Linked DNA regions of Struthio camelus. The protein of the gene in region 2 purifies or fractionates together with the protein of the main gene of each other region. This does not show direct contact. Links are inferred from orthologs where the notes say so. Each region holds a gene or a part of one and is shown on either strand. Other genes may lie near its edges.

Region 1 (7,640 bases), on a different chromosome or scaffold from region 2:
GGAAACAATACTGCTGCGGAAGAATTAAATATATAGAATCATTCAATTAAACAAGTGAGATGATCATACAGAGTCAACAATTTACCGTGCAAGAATCAGAGTCTCTGGGAAACTGATTTTAAAACTCTGGAAGACAATTGCTTCCTTTATAATCGTGTAACATTTTGTCTCTTAGAAAAATGCCTATTTTTCTGTAACATTGGATTACAAACATGAGCCCACTTAAATCTCAAATCTTCAAGAATTTTTGTTGTGCTGAAATATCAGAATTATAAACTAACAAGTCTAGTGTTTCAAAGACTTTTGTAGCATTTACAAAGCAGAAATATAATTGCTTTCTTCTGTCCTAACTCTCATAAATGCTAAAAAAAACTTTAAAAAAATCAAATTAAGAAAAAATTATAAAGAATGAATTCTAGTAGTGTATATTTTTAAAATAGACAGCTAAACAGTATGCTTGGCTTTTATGAGATTAAGGTTTAAACAAAAAAAAAGATAGGAAAACGCGATGTTAACACTAAATCTGTAAACACTACACAGCTATTACTGCTCCAAATTTTTGTTCAAAACATTACTGAGACTGTCTTCTCCACGCAATATCAAAAAGTAGCTCAGTGCACGGTATCACATCTTCGAAAATACCACCGGCACCTCCTGTTTTAAATCTACTGCTGAAAAATGTTTTACATTTAAACTAAAGCATTTTGCGGAGGTTTTTTTCCCCCCCCCTCTAGTAACAGATACTTCTGAAACGGTAAGGCCTTAGGTAAGGCAGGTTTTCCTAGCTGCAGACTGTCCCTTTATGAAGGGGCTGCCAGGCAAGAGGTACGCGGTAGGGAAGCACAAGATGCGATTGCAACGGCAATTCAAAGTCCAAAACGGACTAGATTGCTCAATTTTGACGCAAGGGTCCACTCACCGGTCAGGACTTTGGGGCCCAGGTGCACCTTCCTCCTGGTACTAAAAGAAGTAGCACCATTAAAATAACTTGGGGTTTTTACTACTCGGGGTAGTAAAAATCAAGCAGGTGCATAAGCGGCACCGCAGACTTAAGAATTAATGGTGCCAAAAGAATCTTCTTCAGCAGGGTAAATCCTATCTTTCCCCACGCATCTTCGAGCCTGGCTGTGCACCCGTTTCACAGCATTTTGGGGGACACAACGGCAAGAACGGGGCATTTCCCTGCAGATTGTTACTCACGTTAAGGCCAATGGGGATACAAACTAATATTTTGATGACTGCTTATTATCTACTTTTGAAGTGTAGCACATTTAATGATAACAAAGCATCCACGGATAGCATGAATTGCAATAGCGCAGGTAACGTTAGCGGTGCTGACATCGGGGCCAGGCCGGCTGCTCTTCCTGCCAGCCACGGCGGGCTGGCCAAAAGCTAGACCTGCCGCGGGCATTTGCGCCCGCCCGCTGTGTTTGCTGCTTCTCCCCGCCAGCACGTTCTGCTCTTCCCATCAAGGGTTTATTTGCCCTTCACAGAAACTGTTCTCAGCCTGCAGGCGATTCTGCAGGCCATTCGCCTTGCCTTGTTTTGCCAGGCTTGCCTGGCGGGTGATTAAAAAAAGAAAGGAAAGGGAGAAGGCTGCATGCAGGCACGTCCCACCAGGCAGGAGGGGAAGGGAAGGAAGGGGGGATGCGGACCCAGAGCAGGATTAAAACTAAGCTGCAATGTCTTTTTCCCAAATAAACGGACGTTTCAGCAATATTTGCAAAGCAAACGGAAAACCTCAGCTTCTCGTCAGAACGCCCAAACGAACGCGAGGCATCGGAGGCAAAGGCCCAACTGAGGGGTACGACGGCCCCTAGCACGGCCCCTGGCCAGGACCAGACGCCACAGTGGCCATGGCGCTCCCCGAACGGGGCGCGCTCCGGGAATTCTTACTGGGTGCAGCGGGTATATTGCCCGGCCCACACCCCCTGCGCCAGGGCCCACGCACGTCTGCCCCCCCAGCCCCCCGCGCCAGGGCCCACGCACGTCTGCCCCGGCCCACACCCCCTGCGCCAGGGCCCACGCACGTCTGCCCCCCCCCAGCCCCCCGCGCCAGGGCCCACGCACGTCTGCCCCCCCAGCCCCCCTGCGCCAGGGCCCACGCACGTCTGCCCCCCCAGCCCCCCGCGCCAGGGCCCACGCACGTCTGCCCCGGCCCACGCCCCCCGCGCCAGGGCCCACGCACGTCTGCCCCCCCCAGCCCCCCTGCGCCAGGGCCCACGCACGTCTGCCCCCCCAGCCCCCTGCGCCAGGGCCCACGCACGTCTGCCCCGGCCCACGCCCCCCGCGCCAGGGCCCACGCACGTCTGCCCCCCCCAGCCCCCCGCGCCAGGGCCCACGCACGTCTGCCCCCCAGCCCCCCGCGCCAGGGCCCACGCACGTCTGCCCCCCCAGCCCCCCGCGCCAGGGCCCACGCACGTCTGCCCCCCCCAGCCCCCTGCGCCAGGGCCCACGCACGTCTGCCCCCCCAGCCCCCTGCGCCAGGGCCCACGCACGTCTGCCCCCCCCAGCCCCCTGCGCCAGGGCCCACGCACGTCTGCCCCCCCAGCCCCCCTGCGCCAGGGCCCACGCACGTCTGCCCCCCCCCAGCCCCCTGCGCCAGGGCCCACGCACGTCTGCCCCCCCAGCCCCCCGCGCCAGGGCCCACGCACGTCTGCCCCCCCAGCCCCATATACATATCCCCCCTATACACACACTACAGGAGGGCCCATACGCATACAACCCTCCCCCCCACACACACTTCAGGCAGCCCCACATATACCACCCCCCCCAAACACGCACACCGCGGGCAGCCCCATACACATACACCCCCCACCCCCCCCCCAGCACAGCCGCGGGTCCCAGCGGCCGTAACCCGCCGCGGGCGGGGAGGATCCCGGCCCCGGCCCGCTCCCGCCCCTCGCGCCCGCCGCCTCCTTACACCTCCATCTTGTCCCCGCGCGCAGCTGCGCGCTGAGGCCGCCCGCGGCCGCCGCCCGCCCGGGCACCTTCCGCTTCCCCCCGCGCGCGCCGCCGCCCGCTGAGCCACGGCGAGGGGAGCGCTGGGGAGGTCGGGGCTGAGCTGAAAGCGGTTTCGGGACTCAGGAAGGAGGAAAAATGGACAAAGAGGGAGAGAGGGAAGGGGGGGAGGAAAAAAAAAAACAAGAAACCAAAAAAGCGCAGTTGCATTGGCCGGGAATCGAACCCGGGCCTCCCGCGTGGCAGGCGAGAATTCTACCACTGAACCACCAATGCCCCCGGTAGAAGCTGTTTTTCCGGCCGCGCCCCTCTACCCGTGCGAGAGCGTTTTTGCACTGATCCTATCTCACTTTCGCAAAATCTTCACGGAGCAGTAAAAGACCTCTCGGGCTTTCACGAAAGTTTAAAACAGATGTGCCTGCTAGTCCCTCTGGATCATATAGAAAATTAGCATATAATACAGAATTACAGGCAACAGATCCTTTATGTTTTTAAAGGAAAGACAAATTGCACTTTTCCAGAACGGTAACTACCGTGGACAGAAAGCTCACTACAAAAATGATACGTGGGGCAAAATATGTTCTGAAAATCTATTTGGATTCTGAAAATTAGGCACTTTAGACATGATAACAATGAAAAAAAATTGTATTTTAGAGGTCCTTCCAAACCAAATTTCTAGCTGCGTGCAAACAGAACACTGTAAGCTGTATAATACTCCCTTTCCTCCAGTCGTCTTTGAAAACACCTGTGCATACATCTTCAGGCTCATTATATGTCTTTTTCCACCATCAGCCTGAGTCTTTCTCTTTTCTTACATATGCTACTACATTTTGCAAGAGCTCTTTTCACTCTTGAGAAAACTGAACACATTTCATTGAGTGCAAATAACTGAAAATCCCAATGGCTGCAGCAGGGATAATTACGTCTGCATCAGAGATTGAGAGCCAGGAATACATTAAATCACTTATTTTGCTATTGGCCCCTCAGGTAGAAGTTTATATACAAACACGACAGCAGTAACTCCCTACAGAATCACACATGCATGCTTGTTAAGAGAAATCTAGGGAGCCAAACCGGTTGGATATTTTGTGCCCACAAGCTCCCTCGCTTGTCCTGTGATACTAGCAGAAAATTCATTCACCCAGTTTTCCCTCCAGAATCAAGCCAGAAGAAGGTCCACCCTCAGTCTGGGACGTTGCTTCTCTCTGCGGTGTTAGAAATCCTCACCTAGCTCTGAAGGATGGGACCAAACTGCAGCGGTTCAAGGGCAGTCTTCAGTGCAAGGACAGCGGGAGACGCACTCGGGTACTTGGGTGTACCACCGCGATCAGGTGTCTAAGAGGTGGGCAAAGTTTAAAACCCTGCTGCAAAGGTTTTTCAGCCCTTTTCAGTTGCAGACCCCTGAAAAAGTGTCAGTGGATATGTGGGCCATGTTCACGTACACAGATTGTAGCACAGACGGAAATTAATTCCTGTTCCAGAATCACCTTTCATCAATCCTTAGGAAAAAGACCAAGGAGAAAGGTCTTCACACTGCAGACTGAAAGCCATTGGTCTGAATTAGTGGATAGGATGTGATGGATGCTGTCCTTTTTCATGTCAGGATTAACTGACCTTGTACTTGGGCCAAAACTGGCACAGCAAATGCTCTGTAACTTCTCTGCCATGCTTCAAACCTTGTCTGTGAAACTGCTTGTACACTTGCTCCCAGCTAGGTCAAAGCGAAGAAAAGAAAAGAAAGAATGTCAGCTTTCTTTCAAGAATATACTTCCAGACTCTTTTTCAGGGTTTTGTTCTAGAAATCCACTAATCCTTGTCTTCCCCTCATCATTCTCTTTAGACACGAGTTGAAAATCTTAAGCATATTAATTTTATTCTCCTTGGCACCTCCTCCTTATCTCTCTCCCCTAAACGCAATTTATCATCTACGTTTTCAGTGTTTCTCCAAAAGTCTCATTCCAGACCTTTGCTGATACACTTTTTTAGAAGCCCTGACGACCATGTCCCATCCCAGCTGCTGGGAAGAATAAGCATAATACACATGCCTCTCAGAATGGCTTTTGAATTTTTTTTCCAATAGAGACATATCCTTCCTAAATATTTTCCAGTGGAGACATACACCCTGTTGGCAATTTCACAAAAATAGACTGGCCAGAGATCCACTGACATCATGCAAGGGAGAAGAGGAATCTCTAAGAGAGAGCTCATTATCCATACCTACAACTTTTCCGGAGAGGTGGGATGATTAGCCGAGTTAACTTTGTTTTTAATGGTTGCAGTTTAGATGTTAGACAGTTATGCTACACCATCCATAGGGAATGCAGACATAGGTTTTCTAAATGTGCTTAGCATGTCAACATTTTAAGCATTGGCTTGTGATTGTAACCGCTAAGGCTTGGTGAGAGAGGGGCCTCGGTATTAACTATTGAAAGCAGGGGGCCTAGTAATTGCTATTGAAAGCAGATCTGCATGGTATTTGTATTCTTTGTCATGAAAGATGTTTACTGTATTCAGCATTTTGCTGATCACCCTATAGTGTCTTTTTTTCTTTTACATTCAAAATTCATTAAACAAAGTTGATTTTTAACAAAAAATGTCAGCACTGCTTCACAGCAGCCTAGCTGACAGTGCATTTGACTAGCACGTTCAGTCTATAGAGCTTTTTTCTTTTTCTAAACCAAAATGACAGTTAAAAAAGAATGTTTTTTAAAGATAGTGTAGAGCAGCAGTTTATGTCCTCTTCTTTCTTTACTGGACTCAGTTTTTACAATTAGTCCTACTATGAATAGTGTATTTCTAGAAATCCCTAAGGCTCTCCTTCAGAGCTAAACTCCACACGTATTAGTCTCTTTCAACAAAAAGGCACTCTAAAAGAAATAGTAAAGATGTGACCTTGATTACAAAAGCAAATACAAATAAAGTTTGAATCTCTGAGGACATTAAAATATATTTAATTAAACCTCTCCATGCTGCAAAAGGGGCAATTTACTCATTATCTCATAGTACATCAGCCTGGAAAAGAGTATAGATGGGAATATTAATGTATGACCAGCGAGGGCTGGCTGCTCCGCAAGGGAAGGTGAGGCAGGAGTAGAGTGCACTAATAAGGCCGGAGCGAGCAGTGACCTCACCACCAAGGAGATGAGATGCAGAACATCACCACCAGGTCAGGATCAGGGCCAGAGACAGCGGTGAGGGTCAGACACAGTCCACGGCTCACCTAGCAAGACTGTCGTGACAAGGCAGGTGCACGGCCAGCCCAGGAAGCCCAGCCAGGGGGTCCGGGTCCAGGTGAGACTCACGGAGGTAGGAGAGCAGGCGCAGACTTAGCTGCTGTGCGGCTGCCGTGTAGCACAGGCGGAGGCCAGCGGTAAAACCTCAGCTTCAGAGCAGTTCCCAAGGGCAAGGAGGGGCAGGCCCTCGCTTAGAGCTTTCTTCACGACAGCTCTTATCAGTAAAGGAGCTGACTTCCACTCAGCCAGCTAAACTCCAACTTAGCCAACTAAAGTCCTAGAAGGAGGATACACTGCAGGCCGTGATACTGTGTCCAGAATGGAAAATAAGTAGAACATACGGTACTTTTTCATCAGAACTTCCTTGGTATTTAACTATGCGTTGGGTTTTTGGGGGCAATTTTTCTATTTCACTAAGCAAATAAAAGCCTGAAAGAATAAGACAGGAAGTGGAAGTGGAAAGACAACAAAAACAGAACAAACAGAGAAGATAGTAATGATGAGAATACATTTCAGTGTGCATTAGAAGACCTATTTTGCAGTGCTGTTTCACTGTTTTCCCAAAAAACAGTTCAGCTCCCTGATGCCAAGCCTCTTTAAGAGATCCTATTTCATCTATAAATGGGAGAAGAGAGAATTAATACATCTCCTAGATACAAACTAGGACAGGAGTTAAAACAACATACTACAAGCAAACTAATCCCTATAAAATGTGTTAAGTACACAGTGAAACTGCTGACAGATGCCATGTGAAAGCATACATCCATTACTATGTATAATATCAGGCATAGATTAATAAAAATAAGATCATCTGGTAACAGCCACAAAAGGCTTCTTTCTTGCAAAACCAGATTTGGAGTCAAGGCATAGATTATGAAAAAGAACACGGCAGAAATCGAACTCAGTTGTCTCCCCTGAAAAATACTCAAGTGCACACGGCTGCAGATTCGTGTCCCAACCCCACCTCACAGCTTCCAGTGGAACAATTGATTTCAATGGCAGCAAGGCCAAACTCTAGGATACATAATCACGAATATTTCATATCAAGTCACTGTGTTACCAATCTCTGCCTGGAGCACCTGGGATCCCTCCCTTTCCCCCTTTTTTAGTTTGGGTAAGTCCTGTTCAATATCTTCAGACAGAAACACACGCAATCCTTACACAGGTTGTGTCCGAACCTTGAGCCTATATCACAAGCATCATGAAGCAAAGATGCTCTCTGTATATGGTCCATTCTGGTTATAAATTCAGTGCTTACTATTTTTGCAACACATCAGCAACCTTCTGTTAAAGCCCAGAATAAGGACAAAGACACTCCTAAATGACTAATGAGACAAGAAAAGTGGTAAAAATGAGGGGATTCAGAATGTGATGACAAAATGATCAAGCCCTGTTTCCTAGTGTAGATGTCCTAGTGAAAATAGGAGAAGGAGATTAGTAGCAGAA
Region 2 (6,921 bases):
AGTCCAGTTCCTTTCAAATAGGAAATATCTCATTTGTTCGAGCTACGCTTCTACATTGAAAATTGAAGTTAGAAACATGCATCACTTCCTAGCTCATTTAAAGGAACTTATTCTAACAAACGAACAAAAAAAATCTCTTACGCATTTAGTTCTAGTTTTGATTCAGACAGATCTGACAAAAATTCAAAAGTAAAGAAGGTAATCATCTGCTATTTTCTGAACAAACAAAAACCCCAAACCCCCACAATCATAAATGTATGCTGAACTAGATCTGCCTAAGTCTCAAAAAAAAAAAAAAAAGGTAGCAAAACTCCCATTTAGAAAAACAGCATCAAATATTGTGTGAAAGCTATATTTAGAAACAAGTTTCATCTTTCTAGCTAGAGCAAATAAGCAAAGAAAAAACACTGGACAAACACAAGAGAACTAATACAAACTATTTTCTATTTGCAGATTTCCAATCACTTCAAATTCAGTTAGTCCCCTTCCAATTAGTAGCATAGCTGCTGGATAAGGAAAAGAGAGATGGACGGTTGGTGAAGGCAGACAGGACGGCCTATTTAAAGCTACGTTTGTCACAAAAAAAGCAAAGGAAAGACTCCTGCCATGTTCCTCTTGGCTTCCTAGAAGGACAGAGTTAAGGTTGTGAACTTCAATAAGTTCCTTTAAATTTAATTTACATAACAATTAAACTTAGTTTACACTTCTGGGTCATTAACATTCTGCAAAGCCATATAACTGAGGGAAAGAATAAACCTTTGGTATGTGATGCACCATCTCCAGGGAATATGTATGAATCTTCCAGTTTTGTAATATCGTACAGACAGATGCAGAGACCGACATTGTATACAACCTGCTCAAAGAAAAAACAATTTAAAAAAAACCCAATAAATCAAGCAATCCACCTCCAGGTTAACTATTTTCAAATTTATATTCTGTACACACTTTTTCAAAGGAAGGCAATGGAAGAGTGGCAAGATGGGAGGGGGATGTTTTGGTACTCTCTTTCAACAGCCCCATCCACACTTCTAACTGTTTAGAGGAACCTAAAACCTCGCTCTTATTCAAGCATTATGGGAGGATGTGTTTTTTTACGGGCACTAGAAAGAGCACTGCTACAAACAGAAACCCTTGGGGTGATCATCAGTGACCAGAAAACTTGACTGGCCACGATGGCAAACACTTGCCCATAGGAAAGGACAGACATCACTCACCAACCCCATAGCTTATCTAAAGGCCAAATATATTTCTTGCTAAAGTTGCACTCTCAGGAGCCTCTAAGACTTGCCTTTGTCTTAAATTATAAGAGCTACGGGCACAGATGAAGAAAACTCTTGCCTCCTTTGCCACTTCTGCGATAGCTTCACAGCTTAGTAAGTTTGAAGCATCTATCAGTCATCAGTGGATGACAGATCTGTTTTCCATAACCTGTCTGTAAATATAGTCTGCTGTCCACAAGCCTAGATCACTTCTGGTTGCTCTTTTGAGCTCTCTTCACATTCACTATCGGCATTTTGAGTTTTGCACCTGTCTCACGCTGAAAGCTGTAGGTTAATCACAGCCCCAGGGGTTCCACAGAGAAGCTGCAACCTCCTGGCCTATGACAAAATGCTTTTCTCTATCCTACACCAAAGGTCAGCTTCTTGCTGCCATACTATATTTCAAGTACTTAGCACAGAGCAGGACTGATATTATCACCTTCAGTTCTCTTACAATATTATTGTTCCACATTTATCTCCGTTGTCTTTTTTTAAAATCCCCATAGGCTAGGTTAGTTTGCATTCGTTTTTCAGACTCCATTTCAGGTTGCAGCTCTGCCCACAAAACAACAGTTACTCTCATTTCTCTTCAGTGGTTCTCTGCCCCATCTGGCATTTTGGTATCTGCCCTTTACAGCATTAGCTATTAGAGAAAAATATCTTCCTTCAAGACGATACCTAGCTGTCTCTTCCTTTACAGTCTCTGACAGTCCAGTCTCTGGGATGGCCCTCACGTGTAAAGTAAACTGATACTCCGCACACATGTCTCATCAGGAACAAATACAGAAACGCCCAGTTACAGGGGGATGCTACGAAGCCTGTATCACCCTTTAGATGACCCACACTTTACCTTGTTGGCCAATTTTTTGTTTAGCTCCTCAGCAATGGATTCGTTCAGTTTCCTTTCAAACTGCCAGGGAGGAATTCTCACGGTGTCGGTCATCTCTACCAGGACAAACATGATGGCTGGGAGTACCTCGGGGCAAAGAGAGCGAATACAGCCGCTTGCTCAGGGGCAGAAGCACCTAAGGAGCCCACGAGGCACCCGGGCAGCTGACGCCGCCTGCGCCTGGGAAACCACCGCCCTCCCGCCGGCCGCAGCACCCAGCGACAAGCCGCCCAACGGCCTGCGCGGCCGTTGGGCAGCGGCCGTTGGGCAGCGGCTCGCGCGGGGGTTCCCCTCCCTCCGGCCGCTCCCGCCCGGCCCGGCGACCCTCTCCCTCCCTCAGAGCCAGCGCAGCTTCCCGGCCCGCTGCGGGGAGGGGGGCGGGGTGGTAGGGGGGGGAGGCGGCGGCGCCCCCCGGGGCGGGGCGGGGCGGGGGGGGAGCTCAGCGCCGCGCCCGCACACCCACCTGACCCACGCCAGCCCGGCCACGCTGCCCCGTAACCTCGCGCGGCTTCCGGCGCCTCAGCCAATCGCCTCCCGCGGGCCGGCTCGGAGGGAGGAGGGGGGCGGGGCGTGGGGAGGAGGGCACCGCCCCGCTCCGCCGCCGCCGCCGCCGCCGGGGGGCCATTTTGTCCCGCCTCAGTGCGGGGCGGGGCCGTGCCGTTGGCGGCCGTTAGCGGCGCGTGGCTCCGGCGAGTGCCCAGCTCGGGGTGGACGGGAGGCCCGGGAATGCTGCTAGGGAGCGCTGTGCCTTTTGTACTTCCGTTTATAAAGAGCTGGCCTCCTGCCGCAGCCTGTGCGGCGCTGCCTCGGCCGCGAGCGGCTGTGAGGAGCCAGGATGGCGCTCGGTGTGCGTGTGGCACCGTGGCGGCGTCTCTGGCCCAGCCCTCCTGGGAAGGAGGGAGCTTGTCACTGGGGACGTGGGGTTTTCTTGAATTACCACCCTCACGCGACTCCTGAAACAGGTTACCCAGCTGCTCTTGGCTGGGCAGTCCCAGGCACCTGTTCTGGCTGCGTCCTGGGTGCCAGGCTTTCAGTAAAGGCGATAGTTTTGGTCAATGAAGCGTGAAGATATGCCTCTGTGTGTGATTTATTTTGTATTTGATTTACTTAGGCTGCTTTAAATGTTATATGTGCCCCAGTGCTTTGCAGTAATGTGTTTCTGTGCTATAGCAGTTAGGAGGATCAGCGCGGTGGTTTTCAAGAGCATACTGCTAGGAGTTTGGTACCTCAAGCGTTGTTTCACAGTTTTAATACCCGTAATGCAAGCCCCACAGAGCTGGAGGCTTTTCCTGCTGTGGCAGGAGGAGCAGTTCTTCCCTTTCTTCTTCCGGCTGAGGCTGGGGACATAAGCGATCTGAAACTTGGAAAGGCTTCAGCAACTACGCGTCCTACGCAGGACCTCTTTGTGAATACCTGTCCTTTTCCCGAGCCCGGTGTTCCACATCGCTCCTTGGAGATCATTTAAGTGTATTAGTTATTGTCTCTTCTAAAAGAATCCACAATTACAGTTACCAATATTACCATTTCATTTATCATTTTCATAAGCTTCAATACCAATGTGGCAGCAGGGATCAAAGTTTGCATCTCTCTTAGAGCTGATACTTCAAGCTTTTACAAACCTATTTTACAAACCTATGCAGCAAAACCGAGTGGATTTATATCCAACTTGTATTTGGAAGGTATTTTCACAATAGCAACTGCCTGAAGCTTAGGTCAAGATTGTTTTCAGATATAAATTGGCATCACATAGAGCTGGAATAATTTATTCCACCTGGGAATCTGAGTGTTAATTAAAAAAAAAGTTCCCATTGTACAGTGCATTTTGCAGCAAGCGAAGCAGCATGAGGGACTATTGAAAACAAGGAGATGTGCTAATGTCTGAAATTGCTGTGAAAAAAAGAAAGGAGATTGTTTGAAGTGTGTTTAAAAAAAGAGTCTCAAGGAAAACCAAACATCTCAGTGGCTGACAGTCAAAACTGCACTGTCAGCACAATGGCTTTGATGCAAACACTATGTCATCCCCTTCACCCCCCAGTAGCATATACTAGGACAGTAATGAGTGTTTTAGATAAGAAATCATTAAATGTTGAGCAGTCTTGGAGCGGCAAAGGGAAAATGAGGTTGCAAATGTCATGGCTAGGCCTTATTAACAAGATACCTGTCTTGTCCAAGGAGTTTCTGATCTCTCTTCACAGTTACTCCTGTTTCAGCAGGATCTGTGGGGTTTTTTAATAAACATGGCTGGTCTGCAAGCGTTTGGCTTGTTTGTATTTCATGGGTTGGGGTGGGGGGCCAGGAACAAATTTTCCACTGTCATCTGAGAAGCAGCAGCATTTGTCTTGGAGCATCCTCTATTTTCTCAGTTCTGAGCTCTTAAATGCAGCAGGCACCGCTCTATCAGGACACCTCAACCCAAATCTGCAGCGTTTCTTGCTCTTCTCGTCCTAGTTCCAGAAAGCCTTACAAAGGCTCCTTTCTCTTGCTCTACAGTTGCTGCTGCTCTAATCTCAGCGCAGCTCAGCTTTGCAGGCACACGTGCTACATCCCTCGCTGTCCTGTCCTGACCCCACGCAAGTTTGTCAGCGCAAGGTTTGACCTTGGAGTTTGAGTGTAGTGGAGTGCACTTTTTGTGGATGTCTGTAGGTACTTTTTCAGAAGAGAGAAAAGTTTCTGACCGTGTCCCTCTTCTGATGGCAGGGGAAGAAATTGGCTTGGTGTCACAAAAGGAGGTAGATGTTGATACTGTGCTGGTATTAGAAAGCTGATCACCCTGGATACTTTGGTATATAAGAACTAAAGAGTTAAACAGGGGCAGAGGTAGACAGGAATAAGAAGCTGAAAACCTAGGAGAATATGGGAGGTTGACAGGAGAAGGAAATTTGGACAGAGTCCTATCACACTCCCATTTCTAGCCCACCTTTGAGCTGATCTTTTTCATGCTGCCAATAACCATGCCTCATCAGGGTCTGTTGAGAGCCCAATATAAAACCGGCACATCTCACTTCAGCTTAGTCCAGAGCCCAGAAAAAACAGTTGTGAGGTCTGCTGGACCTAGTTTCCTACTGACTTGTGTCTAATGCTTAGGTCTTTGGTGTCTCATAAAGTGTAGACACCAAGCAAGGTTTTCTAGGGTTGGGACATGCAGAATTTCTGTCTCCTTTGTCATCTCTCTGATGGCTAATAAAGGCTAAACTCTGCAATATGTGTTTCTCAATAAGGACACTAACAGGATCCCTCTTCTCTATGCAGCTACATATATGCAGCTACATGCTTTGTTGAAACTTGCCGGGGTTACTATCTTTGATAGTACCTTGGGGGAAGCTGAATTGAAATGCGTGAGGAGAAAGCTGGCAGATGGCACGATCGTATGAGCTTCGTTGCCTTAAGACACTAGACTACAAGCAACATCAGAGCTTGGCCTAATTGGCAATTTCTCAGCCTCTGCCGGTAATGCCATAGGCTGTAGAGAACGATTTCCACTCTCATCCTCTGCAGATATCCCTTCCGTTCCCATGGTGAGGTCTGCCTGGGCCTTAGGACACATGATGGATGTTGCACTGTTACTATCAAGGTTTTCTCCCTGCAGGAATTCTCTCTTTCCAGCGGCCCTGGTCACAAGCTCCATCTCTAATATAAAAACACAAACCAAAGCCAAACTTTGCCTTGGGAAACATTGGTGTTGTCTCAACTCAGCTATTGATAGCAGCTCAGAAGTACGTTATATTTAATACTGTGGCTAAGGTATCTCTATGTTGGAGACTGTGTAAACTTGTCTTGCTGAGCGGTCCCTCTTTGTCCCAGTAGTATTGATTCGATGAGTACCCGCAAATCCACATAAGGGTCTGTACAGATGATTGTGTACGTAACTATGCAGAGACTCTAGAGTCTCTCAGTAGCATCGTGGCTTTCCCAGTATTTGGGAATGCGGTTCTTTGCTGTTGTTTTTCTGAAGCTTCAGTGGCTGGAACCCAGTGATTGCACAAGGATCTTTCTGCCACTTGAAAAAAAATCCCAGACATTTCTCCTTCTCACAGTTGTAGAGGAAAACTTGAAAACACAAACTGCAGTTACCCAAAGGCTCAGAAACCAGGAGGAAAATGAAAGGAACTCCAAAACTGTTTTGTTTAAAATCTCTGCCTCCACATTCCCATGGGTTTTGGGGAAAAATGACTCAGGAACATGGAAGGAGGTGAATGGTAATTTGCATCTAGACTGCTTTGGCCCCAGTTTGATTGACTCCAAAAGAATTATGCATCTTCTCATGTACAAAGACTTCCACTCTCCTGCTTTTGCTTCCATCTCTGCAGGCACCTCCAGCACCCTCACTCCCACTCTCTCTTTGATCAAAGCTTCCCCTTCTCTCCTTTTATCATTTTTACATGCTTTAGACTCTCTGCCTTTTCCACTGCAGTGCATGCCTAGAACAACCTTCTAGTCAAATGTACTCCGAGTCCCCTATTCTTTTTCCTTCTAAAGCCTTTAGTGACTACTTGGCAGAGTCAGATTCTGATATTAATCTCCTGTTCAGGTCACATTGCTTAACACATGCAGCTGGGCTGCAAACTTTTTACAGCTAACGCTGCTGTATGACAAATAAGGTGGGAAATACAAGCATTTGGAATATTCAATGTAGAAATATTAAAAGTATTATAGAAATTATTCCATTTACTTGCAATGCAGCCCCTTGCTGGCACACACAAGTGGCGTGCCTCGTGCATTGACGTCTCTCCAGGGTGCCTTGGCCACCCTTGCATGACAGAGCAGCTCGTAGGG

What was found. Proteins that work in one complex are often made in the same cells at the same time.
Region 1: the proteins of POLR3H (region 2) and CRCP purify together in Homo sapiens (affinity purification with mass spectrometry; 4 studies listed by BioGRID and IntAct, with this or other methods). This does not show direct contact. The link is inferred for Struthio camelus from reciprocal best matches to the Homo sapiens genes POLR3H and CRCP.

The regions. Positions count from the first base shown.
Region 1 is NC_090957.1:15,565,465-15,573,104, reverse strand, and holds the start of CRCP (DNA-directed RNA polymerase III subunit RPC9), read right to left. Parts: upstream 3,001-7,640; 5' UTR 2,932-3,000; coding exon of another isoform or gene 2,924-2,931; intron 1,060-2,923; exon of another isoform or gene 920-1,059; intron 14-919; exon of another isoform or gene 1-13. UniProt on the Homo sapiens protein: DNA-dependent RNA polymerase catalyzes the transcription of DNA into RNA using the four ribonucleoside triphosphates as substrates.
Region 2 is NC_090942.1:56,716,536-56,723,456, reverse strand, and holds the start of POLR3H (DNA-directed RNA polymerase III subunit RPC8), read right to left. Parts: upstream 3,018-6,921; 5' UTR 2,774-3,017; coding exon 2,612-2,773; intron 2,236-2,611; coding exon 2,110-2,235; intron 854-2,109; coding exon 757-853; intron 1-756.